2 linked regions of the Anolis sagrei genome follow. The protein of the gene in region 2 interacts with the protein of the main gene of each other region in a pairwise test. Links are inferred from orthologs where the notes say so. Each region holds a gene or a part of one and is shown on either strand. Other genes may lie near its edges.

Region 1 (10,429 bases), on a different chromosome or scaffold from region 2:
CTGCCATATAATCCAATTCAAAGCAGATAATCTGGATTTTATGTGACATTGTAGAAGGGGTCTTAGGGTACATCTACACTGAAGACATAATGCAGTTTGACACTACCTTAACTGCTGTGGAATCATGGAAGTTGTAGTTTAGCAAGTTATTTAGCCTTCTTTGACAAAGCTGCAATCCTTATAATTCCACAGCATTGAACAATGGTGGTTAAAGTGGTGTCAGACTGCATTAATTCTGCTCAGGCTCTTTGATCAACTGAGGAGGCCCTACTCTTGGTCCCACCCCTATCTCAAGCATGACTGGTAGGAACGAGAGAGGGGGCCTTCTCGATGGTTGCCCCCTATCTTTAGGATGCCCTCCCCAAGGAGATCAAAATGCCCCCCTCCTTACCCATTTTTTAAAAGCACCTTAAAACATTCCTATGCTCTCAAGCCTATGATGAGAAGAAGGAATAGAGTTCACAACATTGATGAATGGAAAGGAAATGGACTTGATATGCTATCTTAGCTGACTTTTAATGATTTAAATGTTGATTATTTAAATTACTTGTTTTAACTTGTGTAATGTATTTTATTGTTGTTGTTTATTTGACTTTTGTTTTATGCAGGCATTGAATGTTTGCCTTTATTATGTTGGAAGCTCCCTCTCCTCTTGGGGAGATAGAGCAGGCTACAAATAAATTATTAATAATAATAATAATAATAATAATAATAATAATAATAATTCTACAGTGTAGATGTACCCTGAGTTCCATTTAGCATCAACTCTGGCCCCTTTTACTCTGCAATACAGTCCAGACTATCAAATCAGAAAATCACATTATCTGCTTTAAACTGGATTATATGAGTGCAAACTGCCATACAATCAATTTCAAAGCAGATAACCTGGATTTTATTTGGCACTGTAGAAGGGGCATCACTGGGTTCTGCAGTAGTTTCAAACCTGTACTGAAGAAAGTAGTTTCACTATGCTGATGATTACATAGGAAATCCTGGAACCGGTTTGAGACCTGAATGGTGATTACACAAATCACATGTCTATTAAGGACTTTCATTCATATGCCTTAGAGCCCTTCCACACAGCCATATAATCCAGAATATAAAGGCAGAAAATCCCACATTATCCGAGCATTGTAATGCTAGTCATTAGTGGCCTCCCATCCAAGAATGGGATGGTCATCTGTCGGGGGTGTTTTGATTGTGCTTTTCCTGTGTGGCAGGGGGTAGGGCTGGATGCCTGGTGGAGTCACTTCCAACTCTATGGCCCAATTTACACTGTAATACAAAATCCAGATTATCTGCTTTGAACTGGATTACATGGCAGTGTAGACTCATAAAATCCAGTTCAAAGCAGATAATCTGGATTATTTGATAACTTGGATTATAGGGCAGTGTAGAACCAGCCTTTGAACTGGATTAATGGCAGTGTAGACTCATAAAATCCAGTTCAAAGCAGATAATCTGGATTATTTGATTTGATAACTTGGATTATATGGCAGTGTAGATCCAGCCTATGATTCTAAACAGGGATGATTATGTTCAGCTTCCAAGATCTGGAAAAAAAAAGAAGTGAAAGGAAAAGAGAAAAAGATATGACTGGAGGCAAAGAAACAAAGGAAAAGAAGGGGCCTTCCACACAGCTGTATAAAATCCACATTGAACTGGATTATATGACAGTGTGGATTAAGATAACCCTATTCAAGCAAATATTGTGGATTATCTGCTGTGATATTCTGGGATATAGGGCTGTGTGGAAGGGAAAGAGAAAGAGAAAAAGAAAAAGAAAGAGAAAGGGGGGGAAGAAAGAGGGCAGAAAGAAGAAAGAAAGGAGAGAGAGAGGAAGGAAAAAAAGAAGGCAAGAAAGAAGAGAGGGGAATGTGTATATGGTCAGCTTCCAAGATCAGATGGGATTGGGAGGAATATGTCGTTTTAATACATAGGACCCTTCTTGACTGCCATAGAAGAACAAGCCCTATGAGGAGCGGCTTAAGGAGCTCGGCATGTTTAGCCTGAAGAAGAGATATGATAGCCATGTATAAATATGTGAGAGGAAGTCAAAGGGAGGAGGGAGCAAGCTTGTTTTCTGCTTCCCTGGAGACTAGGACGCAGAACAGTGGCTTCAAACTACAAGAGAGGAGATTCCATCTCAACATGAGGAAGAACTTCCTGACTGTGAGAGCCGTTCAGCAGTGGAACTCTCTGCCACGGAGTGTGGTGGAGGCTCCTTCTTTGGAGGTTTTTAAACAGAGGCTAGATGGCCATCTGTCTGAGGTGCTTTGAATTAATACAGTTCCTCATGTTGTGGTGACCCCCAACAATAATATTATTTGTGTTGCTACTTCACAACTACAATTTTGCTACTGTTATTAATCATAATATAAATATCTGATATGCAGGATGTATTTTCATTCACTGGACCAAATTTGGCACAAATACATGATATGCCCCAATTTGAATACTGGTGGGGTTGGCAGGGGATTGATGTTGTCATTTGGGAGTTGTAGTTGCTGGGATTTATAGTTTACCTACACTCAAAGAGCATTATGAACTCCAACGATGGAATTGAACCAATCTTGATACAGAGAACTCCCGTGACCAATAGAAAATACTGGAAGGGTTTGATGGGCACTGACCTTGTTTTGGAGTTGTAGTTCACCTAGATCCAGAGAGCACTGTGGACTCAAATAATGATGGATCTGGACCAAACTTGTCATGAATACTCAACATGCCCAATGTGAATGAACACTGGTGGAGTTTGGGGAAAATAGACCTTGGCATTTGAGAGTTTTAGTTGCTGGGATTTATAATTCACCTACAACAGGGGTCCTCAAACTAAGGCCCGGGGGCCGGATGCGGCCCTCCAAGGTAATTTACCTGGCCCTCGCTCAGTCTAAGTCTGAAAAGACTTGAAAGCACACAACAACAACAATGCTATCTCATCAGCCAAAAGCAGGCCCACACTTCCCATTGAAATACTAATAGGTTTTTATTTGTTAAAATTGTTCTTCATTTTAATTATTGTATTTTAAGTGTTTTTGCACTACAAATAAGATATGCCCAGCGTGCATAGGAATTCATTCATTTTTTTCCAAATTATAATCCGGCCCTCCAACAGTTTGAGGAACTGTGATCTGGCCCTCTGTTTAAAATGTTTGTGGACCCCTGACCTACAATAAAAGATCATTCTGATCCCTAACAATGATAGTATTGGGCCAAACTTCCCCCATGGAACCCTTATGACCAACAGAAAATACGTTTTTGCATGGTTTTTGGCGACCCCTCTGAAACCCCCTCATGACCCCCCCCCAGGGGTCCCGACCCCCAGGTTGAGAACCACTGCAATAGAGACTCCTATAATCCAGTTCAACGCAGATAATATCTGTTTTGATGACCTAGATGATAATGGCAGTGCAATGAGGATATAGTTCACCCCATGTGTCTTGAGATGGCGAATTGCACAGGGTTTCCTTAGGGAGACCGCGAGGGTGCACCTAGAATTAATTGCATTTGACCCCATGGAATGCTGGGAGTTGTAGTTTCACAAGGTACTCTTAAAGCGTGGTGGGAGGGGGGGGAGTGAAATCTCCTCGCTTTTGCATTCGTGGGTGGACGGTCTCCCGCCTAAATCCTAACCAGGGTGGGTGATACTTAGCTTGCAACATCAGATTGGGGATTTTTGGGGGGTGGGGGGAGAGAGATGCAATGAATGGGAGCAGCGAGAGCAACCCCCTCCCTCCCTCCCTCCGTGCTTCTCTCCACGCGGGCGCCGCCCTTGGCTCAGACCTGGTGGGGGTGGGAGGCGACTGCGATGGCGACGGCTGCTTCTCCGCCTCGGCCTGGGTGGCGGGCTCGGCGCCCAAGCTGCCCTCCTGGGGCTGAGCCGCCGCCACGCCGCCGCTCCCTGCCTCTTCTTCTTCCTCCTCCTCTTCCTCCGCCTTCTCCTTTTCCGCCTCCATCGCTTCTTCTTCTTCTCCTTCTTCTTCCTGGCCGGGAAAGCCTCCCTCGGTTCCCTCCCTCCCGCGCATCACGTGTGTTTCCGGGGCCAGCGCAGCCAGGCGGAGCCAAGCCCAGCCCTCCCACCCCAGCCAGGCGGCCACTCCACCCTCCTCACGCTGCCACCCCTTAAGACGCTGCCTCGTCTTGTGCTGACACCCCCCCCCCCCCAAGCGTAACATTATTTTCGTTGCTACTTCATAACTGCGATTTTGCTTCTGTTATGAATCGTAGTGTAAATACGATTCATAACAAGCCAATGGGATTTTGGCCTGCATCAATAGGAGCATAGTGTCTGTCTAGATCTAAGGAAGTAATGCTCCCCATGCTCTATTCTGCTTTGGTTAGACCACATCTGGAATATTGTGTCCAATTCTGGGCACCACAATTCCAGAGAGATATTGACAAGCTGGAATGTGTCCAGAGGAGGGCGACTAAAATGATCAAGGGTCTGGAGAACAAGCCCTATGAGGAGCGGCTTGGGGAGCTGGGCATGTTTAGCCTGAAGAAGAGAAGGATGAGAGGAGATATGATAGACATGATTAAATATGTGAGGGGAAGCCACAGGGAGGAGGGAGCAAGCTTGTTTTCTGCTTCCTTGGAGACTAGGACACGGAACAATGGCTTCAAACTACAAGAGAGGAGATTCCATCTGAACACAAGGAAGAACTTCCTGACTGTGAGAGCTGTTCAGCAGTGGAACTCTCTGCCCTGGAGTGTGGTGGAGGCTCCTTCTTTGGAAGCTTTTAAACAGAGGCTGGATGGCCATCTGTCAGGGATGATTTGAATGCAATATTCCTGCTTCTTGGCAGGGGGTTGGACTGGATGGCCCATGAGGTCTCTTCCAACTCTTTGATTCTATGATTCTATGAAATACCTGATAGGCAGGATGTCTTTTCATTCACTGGACCAAACTTAGCACAAATGATCAAGGGTCTGGAGAACAAGCCTTATGAAGATGTTTAGCCTGAAGAAGAGAAGGCTGAGAGGAGATAGGATAGCCATGTATAAATATGCCATGTATAAATATGTGAGAGGAACATGATGGCAACAGTCTTGGACAGCAGTGGCTCCCAAAGTGACCCATTTAAGGTCAATCAATCAAAATAGTTTATTGTACGGGCCCAAGGCAGTTAACCCTTAAAATCTCCTTGGCAGTTGATAGCAATTTTATCTAACTCTGTCTTTCTGATCTTTTTTGCAGAGCGAGCAAAAAGGGCTACTTTGTAGGTTACATAGTCATTTGTATCGCCCAGTAGAAACTGCACTGTTTCTGCAATAGAGTTCCCTTCATCTTGTGTCAACAAGGGTTTCAGGTGTCTTTCCCTTGGGTCGCTATACAATGGGCAGACTAACAGGTAATGCACAATGTCTTCTACCTGACATTGACTACAAATACATAGTCTGTTTTCCCAGGGAACATTTTGGTAGCGACCATCTAACACTGCGGTTGGCATCAGGCATCACTTGAAATCGCAGCTCGGTGAAGGCGGTTCTCAAGGAAGGAGGCTTGAGCGTAACCATTTAAGGTGGAATCGGGTGTCAAACAGGGACGTGTTATCGCCCCGACTTTATTCTCCATCTTCATCGCTATGATACTTCACCTTGTTGATGGGAAGCTTCCCACCGGAGTGGAAATCATCTAACCCTCCCCCCCCCCCCCACCCCAATGAATGCATCCTTAATATTTTAGAAGTTTGGGTTTATTATTATTTTAATAAACTCTTAACAGAATGGAGATCTGGAATAGCGATGATGATGAAGAACAAACTTTATCCTTTAGACCAGGGATATCAAACTCATTTCCACTGAGGGCCACATTAGCCTTATGGTTGACTTCAAAGGGCTATTTAATTCATGGACAGAGAATCAGTGGATAAAGAGAGCCCAGCTATACAGTTTTTTTACATACTGGTCAGTGCTCTTTAGTTTTTACTCAGTTTGTGTCCCCAGATGTTATTGAACACCAACACCCATCACTTTTGATTATCCACCATGCGGACTGGGGATAATGGGAATTGCAACCCAACAACCCTTGTGGCTCTAATATTGGGGAAGGGTTAAATGACATTTTAAAGTCAGGCATTATATCCACAACCCCAATATCCCGACTAAACAGAACAAACTGCAGCCTTTCAGGTGTTACTGTACTGTAACTCCCATCAGCTCGAGTAATTGTGTCTAATGATGAGTAATAAAAGAGTTGTAGCCCAGTATCTGAAGGAGCACATAAAGTGGCATAGTGGTGTGGATTTAACTCATGTGCCTAGAGTTGACGCATATGTTACTGAAAACCAGATCCCCAAAAGGATAAACCCTAGAGTCCACAGCTCCATAGGGATTGATAGGGAACCCCTTGTTGACAGGCAACAATAATATTAGGTACAGGTCTGTGGCTGTTCATTCTGGGGTCGATTAGAGGAAAGAATCTGGATAATTGGTAGGAAGAATAAGGCCACATTCGACAATGTGTAGGGCTGAGTTAGAACTGGTCATTTTCAAAGGCTTGTTGAAAACACCAGGTCTTCAAGCTCTTACGAAAGGAGGGGAGGGATGGGGCCTGCCTTATTTCCCTTGGAAGGGCGTTCCAGAGGTGGGGGGCAACCACTGAGAAGGCCCTCAGTCTTTCATTAACCAACCCCCACACACACACACACAAATGTTGCATAAGCACCATACACGTCTCAGACCTCAGCGAATGTCTACACAATAGTTGCATAGTCCTCTTCACAATACCCTGAGATGACACACGGAAAGCATAAAGGGCTTAGAAGTGAGCCATGGGGTGATCTCATTCTATTCTTGAGAATGTTTTCTCACCTTTATTGAAGTTGGACCCCCTTCTTGGGGTCCCAGTTGAATTTGCCCACACCCTGACCTCCCTTTTATTTACCTCACTGGCACCCATTGTATTGACTAGAGCAGAGATATCAAAGCCCATCCCAGCCCATTATCCCTTGCCATATCACATTTCTTTCCATGCGCATTCTTCTGATGGGCGGATCAAGAAGCCTTCAAAAATAATCCAAAGACAGTTTATTAAATTTCCCACCATTACCAGAGTCAATCAGTGAAGAAGAAAATGGAGAGGGATCCTAGCTGGTGCCACTCTAGATGAATCAGTAGCCTACGTGGCAATGTGCCTTTGTTTTGAGTAGCTGTCAAACATTAAAAAGAAATCTGTTCGCAGTTGTATGTCTTTCTTTGGAGCGCAGATTCTTCTGGTATAAATGTTGACCAAGATTTATAAATGACTCTGATTTTGCCTTCAGTCTATCTGCATTTTATTCAGTCCTTTGGTGGCTTGACACTCAGGGATCCGAACCCACGATTTTAGCAGAGCACATGTGCTTTAGATAGAAAGGGTGTGAACCCCCTCTTTGCTCATACTTTGCTGGTATTCTGGCCCTCAGTGGAAAATCTTAGATTTCTTCACTATTTTTCATGACTATGTTGTATATTGCCTTTTTTTTTTTTTTTTGGCAGCCGGGGGGGGGGGGGGCAGTTGGAGAATGTAGAAGTCTACAGAAACTGTGCCAGTACTGTCCCTCCTAAACTAGAATGTGATCACAACTTCTTCCCAGTTACACCCACTCTCTGTTATGTTTTAAAGCAGTGTTTCTCAACCTGGGGGTCAGGACCCCTGAGGGGGTCATGAGGGGGTGTCAGAGGGGTCACCAAAGACCATCAGACAACACAGTATTTTCTGTTGTCATGAGAGTTCTTTGTAGGAAATTTGGCCCAATTCTATCGTTGGTGGGGTTCAGAATGCTCTTTGATTGTAGGTGAACTATAAATCCCAGCAACTACAACTCCCAAATGACAAAATCAATTCCCTGCCCAACTCCACCAGTATTCAAAATTTGGATATATCGGGTATTTGTGCCAAATTTGGTCCAGTGAATGACAATACATTCTGCATATCAGATATTTACATTATGATTCATAACAGTAGCAAAATAACAGTTACGAAGTAGCAATGAAAATAATGTTATGGTTGGGTGTCACCAGAACATGAGGAACTATTAAGGGGTCACAGCATTAGGAAGGTTGAGAAATACTGCTGTAAAGTTTAACATCCAAAGAAGCCCACGTTTTATGAAACATTGCATGGGATTATTCAGGCCACATAATATGGATCCTAAATTAATTGTGGCTGCACCATTAAGTTGCTTGTCAGTTTATGGTAACCCCATGGATTTAATAGGGTTTTCTCAGGTAAGGAATACTCAGAGGTGGCTTTGCCAGTTCCTTCCTCTGGATTATAGCCTACAGCACCTGGTATTTGTTGTCAGTGTCCCATCCAAGTACTAACTAGAGGCGGCCCTGTTTAGTTTCCAAGATCAGACAAGATCCTGGCCACCTTATTAAATCCTAAATTTAGTTGGCAGCATAATAATAATAATAATAATAATAATAATAATAATAATTATTATTATTATTATTTATACCCCGCTACCAACTCCCCAAGGGACTCGGTGCGGCTTACATGAGACCAAGCCCACAGTCGGGCGGCTCAACCCATTACGCAAAGTAAGCATTTGCAGTATAGTTGATTTTGCCTAGGGGCGCTCTTGAAGCGCTCTTGGGGGAAAATAGACCTTGACATTTGCGAGTTGTAGTTACTGGGATGTATAGTTCACCTACAATCAAAGAGCATTCTGAACTCCACCAGTGATTGAATTGAACCAAATACGGCACACAGAACTCCCATGACAAATAGAAAATATATATCAGTGATTGGTTAGGGTGGGGTGGGGTGGGGGGCGCCAAAATACTGCTTGCTTACCATTGAAAATTACCTAGGGCCGCCTCTGCCCACAGTACATCAATAAACAAAAGCAATAACAAAAACAGTCAATACAATACAATTAATATAAATCACATAAACAATAAACCATAAACAGTAACACACAAGCATTTAAAAACCTATGGGTGGGCCAAATGTAATAGTTTAACATTTAAAAATAACGCTGGGCATGAACAAGGTAGGATATAACTGGTATAGGGTTTTCAAGGAGATATGAGGGAACGCAGTCAGTCCTAAATCAGTGGTAAAGTGCATTTTGAGGGCATATTGCTGAGAGTTTTCCTTATTCTGGGAAGGCACATTGGAACAACCACGTTTTCAGGCTCCTCCTAAAGACTGCCAGAGTTGGGACATGTCTGATGAGTAAACCTATTAAATCAATGAAATTTGAAACAAGAGTAAAACTATTAAATCAATGAAATTTACTTAACTATTATCTTACCTTTCCGCGACTGATTTAGCAAATCTGCTCTTGTAGGTTTAGGTATGAGAGATTTTGTGTTGCATTCATACCTATTTTTGAAATGAGAGCATTTCTAAAATCTAGTAAACTATAATCCACAACTCTCTCCCCAAGATGCAGCAAAGTCTTGAGATGCTGGGGCCTATTGTGTTGGAAATTGGCACATCAAAGAAACTTGCACTATTACTATTTCTATTTCAAAATATTCCCGTAATTAGAAGCCAAGTAACCTTTAAAAGTTGGAATAAAGAACTCCTGAAATTCGTATGGGACGGAAAAAGACCTAGAATTAAGTATATGAACTTAATTGATAAAAAAACAAGAGGAGGACTAGGTTTCCCAGACCTGAAAGCATATCATGATTCAAGTGCTCTCTTATGGATAAGAGACTGGATGTTATTAGAAAATGAAAAATGTCTGAATTTAGAAGGCCATGATTTACGTGTGGGCTGGCATGCCTACACGTGGTATGAAAGAGAGAAAAAGGAAAAGAATTTTGGGAATCACTTCGCCAGAGCATCTTTGCTGAGAGTGTGGTTAAAATATAAAAATCTTTTCTATAACAAAACGCCACTTTGGGTTTCACCAATGGAGGCGCATCAAAGAAGACTGTTAGGCTGGAGAGCGTGGCCAACGTATAAGGATATCTTAAAAGAGAATACAGGGGAGATTAAGTCTTACGAACAATTGAAGGAGAAAAATAAGAATATGACATGGTTACATTACTTACAAATGAAAGACTATATTAAACAAGATAATAAAGTAGGCTTTGCCTGGGAAGGCTCGATGTGGGATAAAATTTTAAAGGCAAGGAGGAAAGTAATCTCGGTCATATATAATACTCTTCTGACGTGGTCAACGGAGACTGAGCAAGTTAAACCATGTATGATAAAGTGGGCACAAAATATAAGAAGATCTATTCAATTTAAAGAGTGGGAACAGATGTGGAACAAGAAATTAAAATATGTATATGCAACTGATTTAAAGGAAAACTGGATAAAAATGTTCCACAGATGGTATACCACGCCTATGAAATTATCTTTGATAAATAAAAATTCTTCAGATAAATGTTGGAAAGGTTGCCAACAGACAGGTACTTTTTATCACATGTGGTGGACTTGCAAAGAAATAGTGAAATATTGGTCTATGATTCATGAAGAGGT
Region 2 (9,890 bases):
AGATTTAAACAAAATATAAACAGAAAACAAATATTCTTCCTCCCGATTTCAGGAAGTTCAGACAAAAATGGATTAGGACCCCCACTGAAAGCTGAACATTAAACCTGACCCAAAGACTGCCAACTCATCAACTTCAAAAAATCTAGAATGTGTTTGAGAAAGTACTGTAGTAATACGCTAGGTAGGGGGATACGCTGTACATGAGGTAAAATGGATGTAGAAAGATCGTCTTCTATAGCAAGGATGGGCAACCCTTCTACAACATAGGGAGTTTAAGAGCAAGCATATGGTTCTCCCCATCCCTCCCATAAATTTCACAACAACCCTTAAATCTAATTTGAAGAAGAAATGGAGACTGCCGTAAGGTGACCAAATGAACTTCATGGCCAAAGCTGCTATCCTCACTTTGATGTTCAAAAGAAGCATCCAGTTTGATACAAGAACTGTTTTTAAATTGAATTATCATTGTTTCAATCATTGTTAATTGTAACTGTGGTTTTTTAATGTATTGTGTTAGCATCTAATGGCTGCCTGCTATAAGCTGCCCTAAGTCCTCCTTTGGAGGTGAGAAGGACAGGATATAAATGCTCGAAATAAATAAATAAGGACTGAATTAACATTTTCAGAGGGTTGGATTGGAAACTCAAGAAGGCAGATTTCCTCCCTGCTCTTCAGATACCCCATGCCTGTTACAGACACTCAGGACCTCATTGTATGTAAGCCCCCCCTCCCTCGGTTTCTACACACTACTAAAACATCATACAGTTCAAGGGGACCCCCACCTCTTGCCCATGCTGCTCTGTCTGTGAACTATCTCTGAAGTGTTCGGAAACAGGAATAACTGGAAAGCATCTTCTGAGCTCCTGATGCTCATGGAAATGGGAGAAAACAAGGAAAATATGTGAGATGGGATCTGTCAAATTTGCCTGTGTTGAATCACTTCAGTGACAGGGAGTAAGGGGTGTTCCCATGGATGGTTTCCTACCAAGCATTGACATTTCTCTCCCAAAATCCCACCTTATAAGCCTAGTATAATAACTTTTTTAAATTAATTTAATTGTTAGGAATACTGCAATTTGAAGATATCACCACTTTATTTTTCCTGTCATTTCTCCTTCACAGGAACCTTGGCTTTTGAAATTGCATTACTGCTAGCTTTTAAACTTTGATGTCCCTTTAAAAAAAAAACCAACTATAGTGAGTTCTAATGCCTAGTAGGTTTCGGAAATCTGCAATTGAGAGTAAGGAGATTGGGTGGGAAAGGAGAGGAGTGCAGAGAAAGGGTATCTGCCTTAAGAACAATGCCTTCAATCTCCTTGAGTATAAGGATATATTTCAATTGTTTAAGGTAAAAAATAGATTTGGCGCCACATATAAAGGCGCCACACACAACGCAAGCTAGTACCATGGGTTTGAGGTTTCTTGCAATTTCTATCATCATCATCATCATATTTATTTATACCCTGTTTCATCTCTCTGTAAAGGGACTCAAAGCGGCTTAATATAAAAGCATTAGTACACAATTTAAAATATACAAATATACAAACATTGAAACAGAATTAAATACAAACAGTATTACAAATTCACGGTTAAAAACCACTCAAACCTATTCAATGCATATACAAAGTTAAAATTCAATGTATGAACCAGATCGGGCCCTTAGATCAAATTCAATGTATGAACCAGATCGGGCCCTTAGATCTGCCGTGGAAGGCCTCCTTTAACTCCCACTACTGTCACAAGCACAATTGGTGGGGGCAAGGGAGAAGGCCTTCTCGGTGGTGGTCCCCCAACTTTGGATGGCCTCCCCAGAGAGACTAGGCAAGCCCCTACTCTGTCCTCCTTCCACAGGGACCTGAAAGCTTGGTGGTTCCAGCAGGCTTTCGAAAATTATTAGTCCCAGGCCCGTTCCTTGACCATCAGCTAGGACCCTGCTCTACACTTTATCCATTTCCCTGACCCTATGATACTCTATTGCCCTAGCCCTTATCCAGCCCTTTCATAGCTGACCATGCCCACTTTGCAATTCTGGCCATTGGTATTTTAATCCCGTTTGATGGAGTAAAATTGAAACTGGCTTTTAAATGTTTGTGACGGTTTTAATAGGATTTATGTTTATGTTTTATAATGTTTAATTTTGTATGGTTTTTCTTTTGACAACTGAATGTTCTGCCTTATTTTGGCAACCGCCCTGAATCCTCTTGGGGAGATAGGGTGGTATATAAATAAAGTATTATTATTATTATTATTATTATTATTCAAAGTTCTAAAGTGTGTTTATCCCCCACAATTCCCAAGTTGATTGGCAATCACCTTCTTTTTCAATCCCCCGTGCAGAGATGCACAAAAACATCAAATTTAACGTGTGATGGGAAATCATATCGCTTGTAAACATAACGATGATGCCATCATGGAAAGCTGAGTTGAGATGGGCAGTATTGATACCTTTCTTCCACTGTTACTGTTTTGGGACTGAAGAGGAAGGAACAGCAATTTATACCTCTTCTGAAACAACATAAATTAAATAGAGTTACCCTTCAAATTAGCTTAGAGAAGACAATGATGCCGAGGTAAATGGAAGGAAAAAGGAAGAGGAGCCAACCATGGACAAGATAGATGGATGGTATCCTTGAAGTGACTGGCTTGACCTTGAAGGAACTGGGGGTAGTGATGGCCGACTGGGAGCTCTGGTGTGGGCTGGTCCATGAAGTCACGACAAGTCAGAAGCGACTGAACGAATAAACAACAACCCTTCAAATTGAGAGCTATCAGTACTCATAAAAAGAAATTATAATATACCTTATACTTTTTTAATCCAAAGAAAACGGGGGAGGAGACAGTGGGAGGAGAAATATCGGTAATAGTATGATAGCTGGGTCCGGAAGCTCCGAGCGTTACGGAGATGCCGCATCGCTCCTTTGGGAGTGCTGTTTGCGCAAGAGAGACTTAGCTAATGTAAGCCAGGCCGGAGACAGATAATATAGAAGGAATGTAAGCGTTCTTTAATGGTGAAACCCTAAATCTTACCCTAACCCTTATGTTAACCCAAACCCTAGTTTACTCTAACCCTGAACCATACCCTAAGCCTAACCCCTTACACAAACCCTAAACCATACCTTAACCCTAACCTCTAGCCCTTACCATAATCCTAACCCAAACCCTAAACCTTGCCCTAAGCGTCCCCTCCTTTCTATCCTCCCTTTGCTCTCCCCCTCTCTTCCCTTATTCATAGCCTCCTTTGCGACATCTCTGCAACGCTCGAAGCTTCCGGACCCAGCTATCATACTATCACCAAAATATCTCTCCTGCATGATGGGAAGGCAAAAGGGATCATTTTAAAAAGAAAGCGGAAAGAGGGGAAACTGTGTGATGGGGTAGGAAAATCATCCATTTAATTTCCAAACGGGGTGTTGCGAAGCTTAAAGGGGAAAACATCGATCCCAAACACTTTACTTATCGCGTGAGATGAAGTCCATGGTCAATTCTCTGTTGTTTAAGAACTGAATCCCATGCAAAGAAGACGATTCTACATGCAAAGAAGACACTTTCCCCCGCTCCCTCTGATAGATGGGCCTCATCATACTACAGAATGAATCTGCTTTAAATCCGGTTGCTACCTCTTGCAGAATTCTGGGATTTGTAGTTTAGGGAGGAGACTTTAACAGCCTCACTAAACTACAAACCCCAGAATTCTGCAGGAGGCAGAGACAGGATTGAAAGTGGATTCATGAAGTAGGAAGTCCTTAGTATTTATCCTTGTGAGGAGTCAAATGAAAGGTGGCAATCCTGGGTTAGTAGGAACGTGGAATAGCCCAAAGGAAACAACACCACACATTGTGGGGACCGCCAAGCAGGAAAAGGGACATACCTGGGAAGTGGTTCCAAATAAAGCAAGGCCTCTGACCCTTCTGTTCCTCCTCCTCTGCTCAGCGACCCAACATGCCTTTCTCCCTCCCTTTTCACATGATACCTTTTAAAGTTTGACTTGGAGAGGCAGCCACATCCTCGCTGTGGATGCCTGCATTTCTAAGGGAGAGGCAAAACAGCAGAGAGACGCTGTCCCTTTAAGTCCGTTCAAGGGAGACGCCTGAGCGTGCATCTCACTCCCAGTTGAGTCCTATGGGTCCCTAGACCGTCCCTCCCTCGCTTAGGCCCGCCTCCTAGCGCAACTTCCGGCCGCCTTGCGCTGGGAAACATAGAGCTGTGATCATTCACATCCCAACACTGAACTCCAAGAGGGAGACATCAAGGGAGAATCTATCCACTTTCCAGACTGACTGCCTCCTGCAGAATTCTGGATTTTGTAGTTCAGGGAGGCCCAGGGTCTCACTAGCCGAGCCGTTTCAAGGCCCCTCCCTAAACTACAAACCCCAGAATTCCGCAGGAAAGTGGCTAGAGGTCCCGTCCTTCCCTGGTGATTCCGACAGAGGGCATTGGCGCACGATTTCTGGACCTTTAAATTTGCAATACTATACTTAAAATATTATCAAACTAGCTGTCCCCTGCCACGCATTGCTGTGGCCCAGTCTGGTGATCTGGAAAATAAAGTAATTAGAAAGTGTTAGTTTCTAATATATGTAATTTTTGTAATGCTTGTGGGTAAACAGTATTTTTTGCTGTTTCTTTGTCAGTGTTGATGTGGAGATTGTCTAGTTTGCCCACCCTGGAACATGCAACACATAATTGTCCTTCTTTAAGGGTCTCTTTCAAATCTATGATACTATATTTGTGTGTGTGGGTATCTCATATGTGTGTGTGTGTGTGTGTGTGTGAGGCTCTTTGTCAGGAGGGCATTGATTACGTTTTCTTGCCCTGGTGAAGGGAGTTGGACTGGCTGGCCTTTAAGTGTTTTCTATTTGTCAGGGGGGTTCTGTGTCGGAAGTTTGCTCCAATTCTGTCATTGGTGGGGGTCAGAATGCTCTTTGATTGTAGGTGAACTATAAATCCCAGTAACTACAACTTCCAAATGTCAAGGTCTATTTTCCCCAAACTCAATCTGTGTTCATATTTGGGCATATGGAATATTTGTGCCAAGTTTGGTCCATATCCATCATTGTTTGAGTCCACAGTGCTCTCTGGATGTTGGTGAACTACAACTCCCAAACTTAAGCTCAATGCCCACCAAACCCTTCTAGGGTTTTGCGTTGGTCATGGGAGCCCTGTGGTTCAGTTCCATCATTGGTGAAGTTTAGAATGCTCTTTGATTGTAGGTGAACTATAAATCCCAGCAACTCCAAGTCCCAAATGACAAAATCATTTTTAAGTGATGGTCACTCCTTGGGTGTCTTTTGGCCAAATTTGGGGGTAATATGTCAAGTGGTTTTTGAGTTAGGTTAATCCCACTAACAATCATTATATTTTTATTTATATAGGCTAGCCGTCCCCTGCCACACGTTGCTGTGGCCCAGTCTGGTGATCTGGAAAATAAAGTAATGAGAAAGTGTTGGTTTCTAATATATATGATTTCTTTCTACTTGAGGGTAAACATATTTCTTGCTGTTTCTTTGCCAGTGTTGATGTGGAGAGTGTCTGGTTTGCCTACTCTGGAAAATGCAACATATAATTGTCCTTCTTTAGGGGTCCCTTTCAAATCTATACTATATCTGTGTGTGTGTGTGAATCATATCTATCTATCTATATTTATGACTGGATGGCTCTTTGTCAGGAAGGCTTTGATTAAAATCCCCTTAGAGTAATAGTGTTTGGGAATCATTAGAAGAGAGCTTCCAACGAGGATGCAGAATGACTCCACGTACAGCTCTACTGACGCCTGAGCCTTTAACAGCAGGAGGCTCAATTCCGCCGGAAATCCCGCCCCCTCTTCCAAGCGGAAGTGCCTCCTTTAGGGAAGAGGGGGAGCCTAGGAGACTGCGCGTGGCTGCCAGTGATATATCCACGGAGAATAAAGGCGGCCTCTTCTCAAAGGCGCAGGGAAGTTTTTCTAACCCGTCATAAAAGAGCCATAGCTGTAAGTTAACCAACTGTTTGGGTCCAGGCCATGGGGAAGTAAGGCAGGAGTTAAAGGGAAGCGGATAGTAGGCCATTGCCTTTCCTCCATCCTCAGGCCATGGCACTTTGGGTGTGAAACTGCTCCTCTAGTCTTGCAAAGAACTGTTTTCCCTCCATACAAGCCACAAAAGAGGAGGAATGGGCGTTGGATTGTTGTAGGTTTTTTTTTCGGCCCATAGGGTCATGTTCTAGAAGCATTCTCTCCTGACGTTTCGCCTGCATCTATGGCAGGCATCCTCAGAGGTTGTGAGGTCTGGGTGTTATTCATCTTTCTGATTGGCCTTGGGCAATTGCATCTAGACATCTTTTTTTACACTCTTCTACATTAAATAATTTGAATTGTTGGAAGAGACCACAAGAGCCAACCTTCTTCCATAGAATCATAGAGTTTATTTTATTTCTTTTATTTATTTGGAGTGCTTCTACCCCGCCCTTCTCAACTCCCTAAGGGGGACTCAGGGCGGCTTACAAAAGGCACAATTCGATGCCCAACAGTTCACTTAATACAATATACAAAATACAATATAACGACAACAGTTATAACTAGTTAAAACAATCAAATTAATACAATAGCAGCAATAAAATCATCTTGTGGTCAACGTTCGCCAATTCATAAATCCATAATCCATCCAGCATTGTCATTGTCCTTTCCTACCCTGGTCGTCATCCATCTGCCAGCTTACCCAAAAGCCTGGTCCCATATCCAGGTTTTTAACTTCCTTCTGAAAGAGAGGAGGGATGTTGATGACCTAATTTCCCCGGGGAGTGCATTTCACAGGCAAGGGGCCACCACCGCGAAGGCCCTGTCCCTCGTCCCCACCAGTCTCACTTGTGATAAAGGTGGGGCCGAGAGTAGGGCCTCCCCGGAGGATCTTAAACTCCGAGGTGGGACGTAGAAGGAGATACGTTCGGACAGGTACGCTGGGCCGGAGCCGTATAGGGTTTTGTAGGTCAAAACCAGCACTTTGAATTGTGCTCAGAACTGGATCGGCGGCTAGTGGAGCTGACATAACAGGGGTGGTATGCTCCACCCCCCTGTTATGTCACCTCCACTGGCTGAGTTGGAAGAGACCTCATGGGCCATCCAGTCCATCCCCCTGCTAAGAAGCAGGAATATTGCATTCAAAGCACCCCTGACAGATGGCCATCCAGCCTCTGTTTAAAAGCCTCCAAAGAAGGAGCCTCCACCACACTCTGGGGCAGAGAGTTCCACTGCTGAATAGCTCTCACAGGTTCTTCCTCATGTTCAGATGGAACTCATAATCAAAGCACCCCCGACAGATGGCCATCCGGCCTCTGCTTAAAAAACCCCAGAGAAGGAGACCACCACACTCTGAAGCAGCATAACCACTGTCAAACAGCTCTTGACATCAGGATTGTGGAAGATTAGATATAAGCAGCCATTGTTGAACCATTACTATGCTACCATATAATCCAGTTCAAAGCATATAATCTGGATTGTATATGGCAGCGTAGATGGGGTCTATATTAACCACTCCTGTGTCCTAATGTTACCCACATCCTGGAAAGAGCCTTCTAGGCCAGGGCTCCTCAGACCCTTTAAACCGACGGCCAGTTCACTGTCCCTGAGCTGTTCAGTGTGTGTGTGTGGACTGTAGTTTGGAAAAAGCACTAATGGATTCCTACACACAATGCACATATATTTTAGTCCAAATAAACATAAAAGAGCAGTACAGTATTTAAAATGAAGACCAGATTTAGCATCAGTATTTCAATGGGAAATTGCCTGCTTTTGGCTGATGAAATAGACAAGTGAATTAGCATTGTTCTTGTTGTTGTGCATTTTCCCTTAGGGCGACCTTAACTCTAAAGTTTAGGATGGGAACCAGGTAAATGACCTTAGTTTGGAGACCCCTGTTCTAGATTGTCAACATTACATGCTTTTCCCAGCATAACACTATGTAACAAAATTTGAAAAAAAGTATGTTCCCCGTTTGAAAGTGCTATTTCCCATTTAATTGTATGGTACTTACTTTAAAGTAGTTGCTATACTCCAGAAACTTGTGGCTGTCACAAACTATGTTGAATTGGTTGAGACTCGATGAGATATTCATTGAAAAACTATTCTAGGAAAAAACTATAGTAATAAATGTTTTCCATGTTTTTATGACAGAACCAATTAGGAAATGATGTTTATATCCCAGGAACAAAAATCGTGTTATATATAGTGTAATAGCGCTTTTAACTAAAAACTCTTCTTTCGGTATTCTTTGCCTCCTTGTAGACAGCAAGCATGTAATTTAATATTTTTCTGTGTCCCTAAGAAGTTTCTGCCTTGTCTATGCCTGGCTCTTTCTAATTGGATGCATCTGCACTTATAGACGTTGTGAAGTTTGACATCACTTTCACTGCCATGGCTAAATGCTATAAATCCTGGCAGTCATAGTTTTATACAGGCAAAAGTGTTGGTGCCTCACTAAACTCAGCCCCCCAGGATTTCATAGCATTCAGCCATGGCTGTTACTGTGGTGTCATCCTGTGTTAATTCTATGGTATAAGTGCAACCTTTGCTTTATTGACAAGATAAAGACCCATCAGGCTTGGTGTCCAAAGGTACAGTTCACAACATGTAGGGTTATAGCAGTGTGGTTGAGCATCCCTTATCCAAAATTCTTGAAATCAGAAGTGTTTGCAAATACTTGCATATATGTCATGAAATATTGTGGCAATGGTCCTAGGTCTAAACATGAAATTAATGTGTGTTTCATTTATGCCTTATATAAATATGAAGGTAATTTAATGATTTTGTTCATGAAACAAAGCTTGTGCAGATTGAACATCAGAAAGCAACAATATCACTATTTCAGTTGCATGTGGATTTTGGAGTATTTTGAATTTCTGGATATGGGATGCTCATACGATATTACAACTACATAAGAGTATCCGTATGTTCTCCTTTCTCATTGATGCTATGATACTGGTGCTTGAGCTGGATAATGCCTCCATTTGAGGCTAAAGCATAACAAATAGTGATTCAAAAATGGTCAATTATATTCATTTCTCAAATTTTCTTGAAGGTAATATGATCTAATAGCATTTGAAGAATTGAATTCTGTTATTTTTCAAGATGGTAGTTTTCACCTGTAATGCTTGTGGAGAATCGGTGAAGAAGGGCCAGGTGGAAAAACATGTAAATATGTGCCGGAACTGTCAGTGTCTTTCTTGTATGGACTGTGGCAAAGATTTCTGGTAAGTAGAACCATACTCTTACTTCACTATTGATTAGAGGAAATTCACTTGCAGCACAGCAAGTCCATTTTCGCTAATGGTGCAATAAGATATAGATTCAGAACTCAGTTTGGATGTGACTAGTAAGATGGATCTTTTTTCTAAAGCAATCACTTTAGTTATTCTGAGGTTCAGGAACCAAGTTTTTAAGAAGTTAAACAAAAATAAATATCAACATTCTGTGTGGGTGTTTGAGTTTCTGTATTCAAGATATTTCTGTATCACTGTCTGCTGTAATTCACAAGAACTTTTGGTGCAATAAATAAAAGAAAGTAAAGCAGGACTAAGAAAACTTTTTTAAAAACTCATTAAGATGCTCTTTCAAAAGCATTTTAGAAACAATTCTGAAATTTAATTTTAAAACTACAATTTCCAACATTAGAAATTGTGCAGAACAGCACTGTTTTGACTGTTAGCTGAAAGTTCATGTAGTATGATTGCACTCATTCCCCATGTTGAAAAGATACTCATGCATGTTTTGTTATGATTTTGAAAATAATGCAGTTTGATTTGAAATCAATATAAAAGTAAATTGTTTTGTAGATGCCACAATATGTAGGCATGAAATAGAACTTGATAAAGCTGGAGGGGTGGTTTAATCTCTTTCCCTGTTGTCCTCAAAAAGAGGCTGG

Evidence for each region.
Region 1: the proteins of LYAR (region 2) and PRKRA interact in binary tests that used the Homo sapiens proteins (3 or more experiments, as listed by UniProt). The two-hybrid records come from large-scale screens. The link is inferred for Anolis sagrei from reciprocal best matches to the Homo sapiens genes LYAR and PRKRA.

The regions. Positions count from the first base shown.
Region 1 is NC_090021.1:189,754,927-189,765,355, reverse strand, and holds the start of PRKRA (interferon-inducible double-stranded RNA-dependent protein kinase activator A), read right to left. Parts: upstream 4,041-10,429; 5' UTR 4,026-4,040; coding exon 3,784-4,025; intron 1-3,783. UniProt on the Homo sapiens protein: Activates EIF2AK2/PKR in the absence of double-stranded RNA (dsRNA), leading to phosphorylation of EIF2S1/EFI2-alpha and inhibition of translation and induction of apoptosis.
Region 2 is NC_090025.1:106,647,201-106,657,090, forward strand, and holds the start of LYAR (cell growth-regulating nucleolar protein), read left to right. Parts: upstream 1-5,812; 5' UTR 5,813-5,968; intron 5,969-9,047; 5' UTR 9,048-9,097; coding exon 9,098-9,219; intron 9,220-9,890. UniProt on the Homo sapiens protein: Plays a role in the maintenance of the appropriate processing of 47S/45S pre-rRNA to 32S/30S pre-rRNAs and their subsequent processing to produce 18S and 28S rRNAs. Also acts at the level of transcription regulation.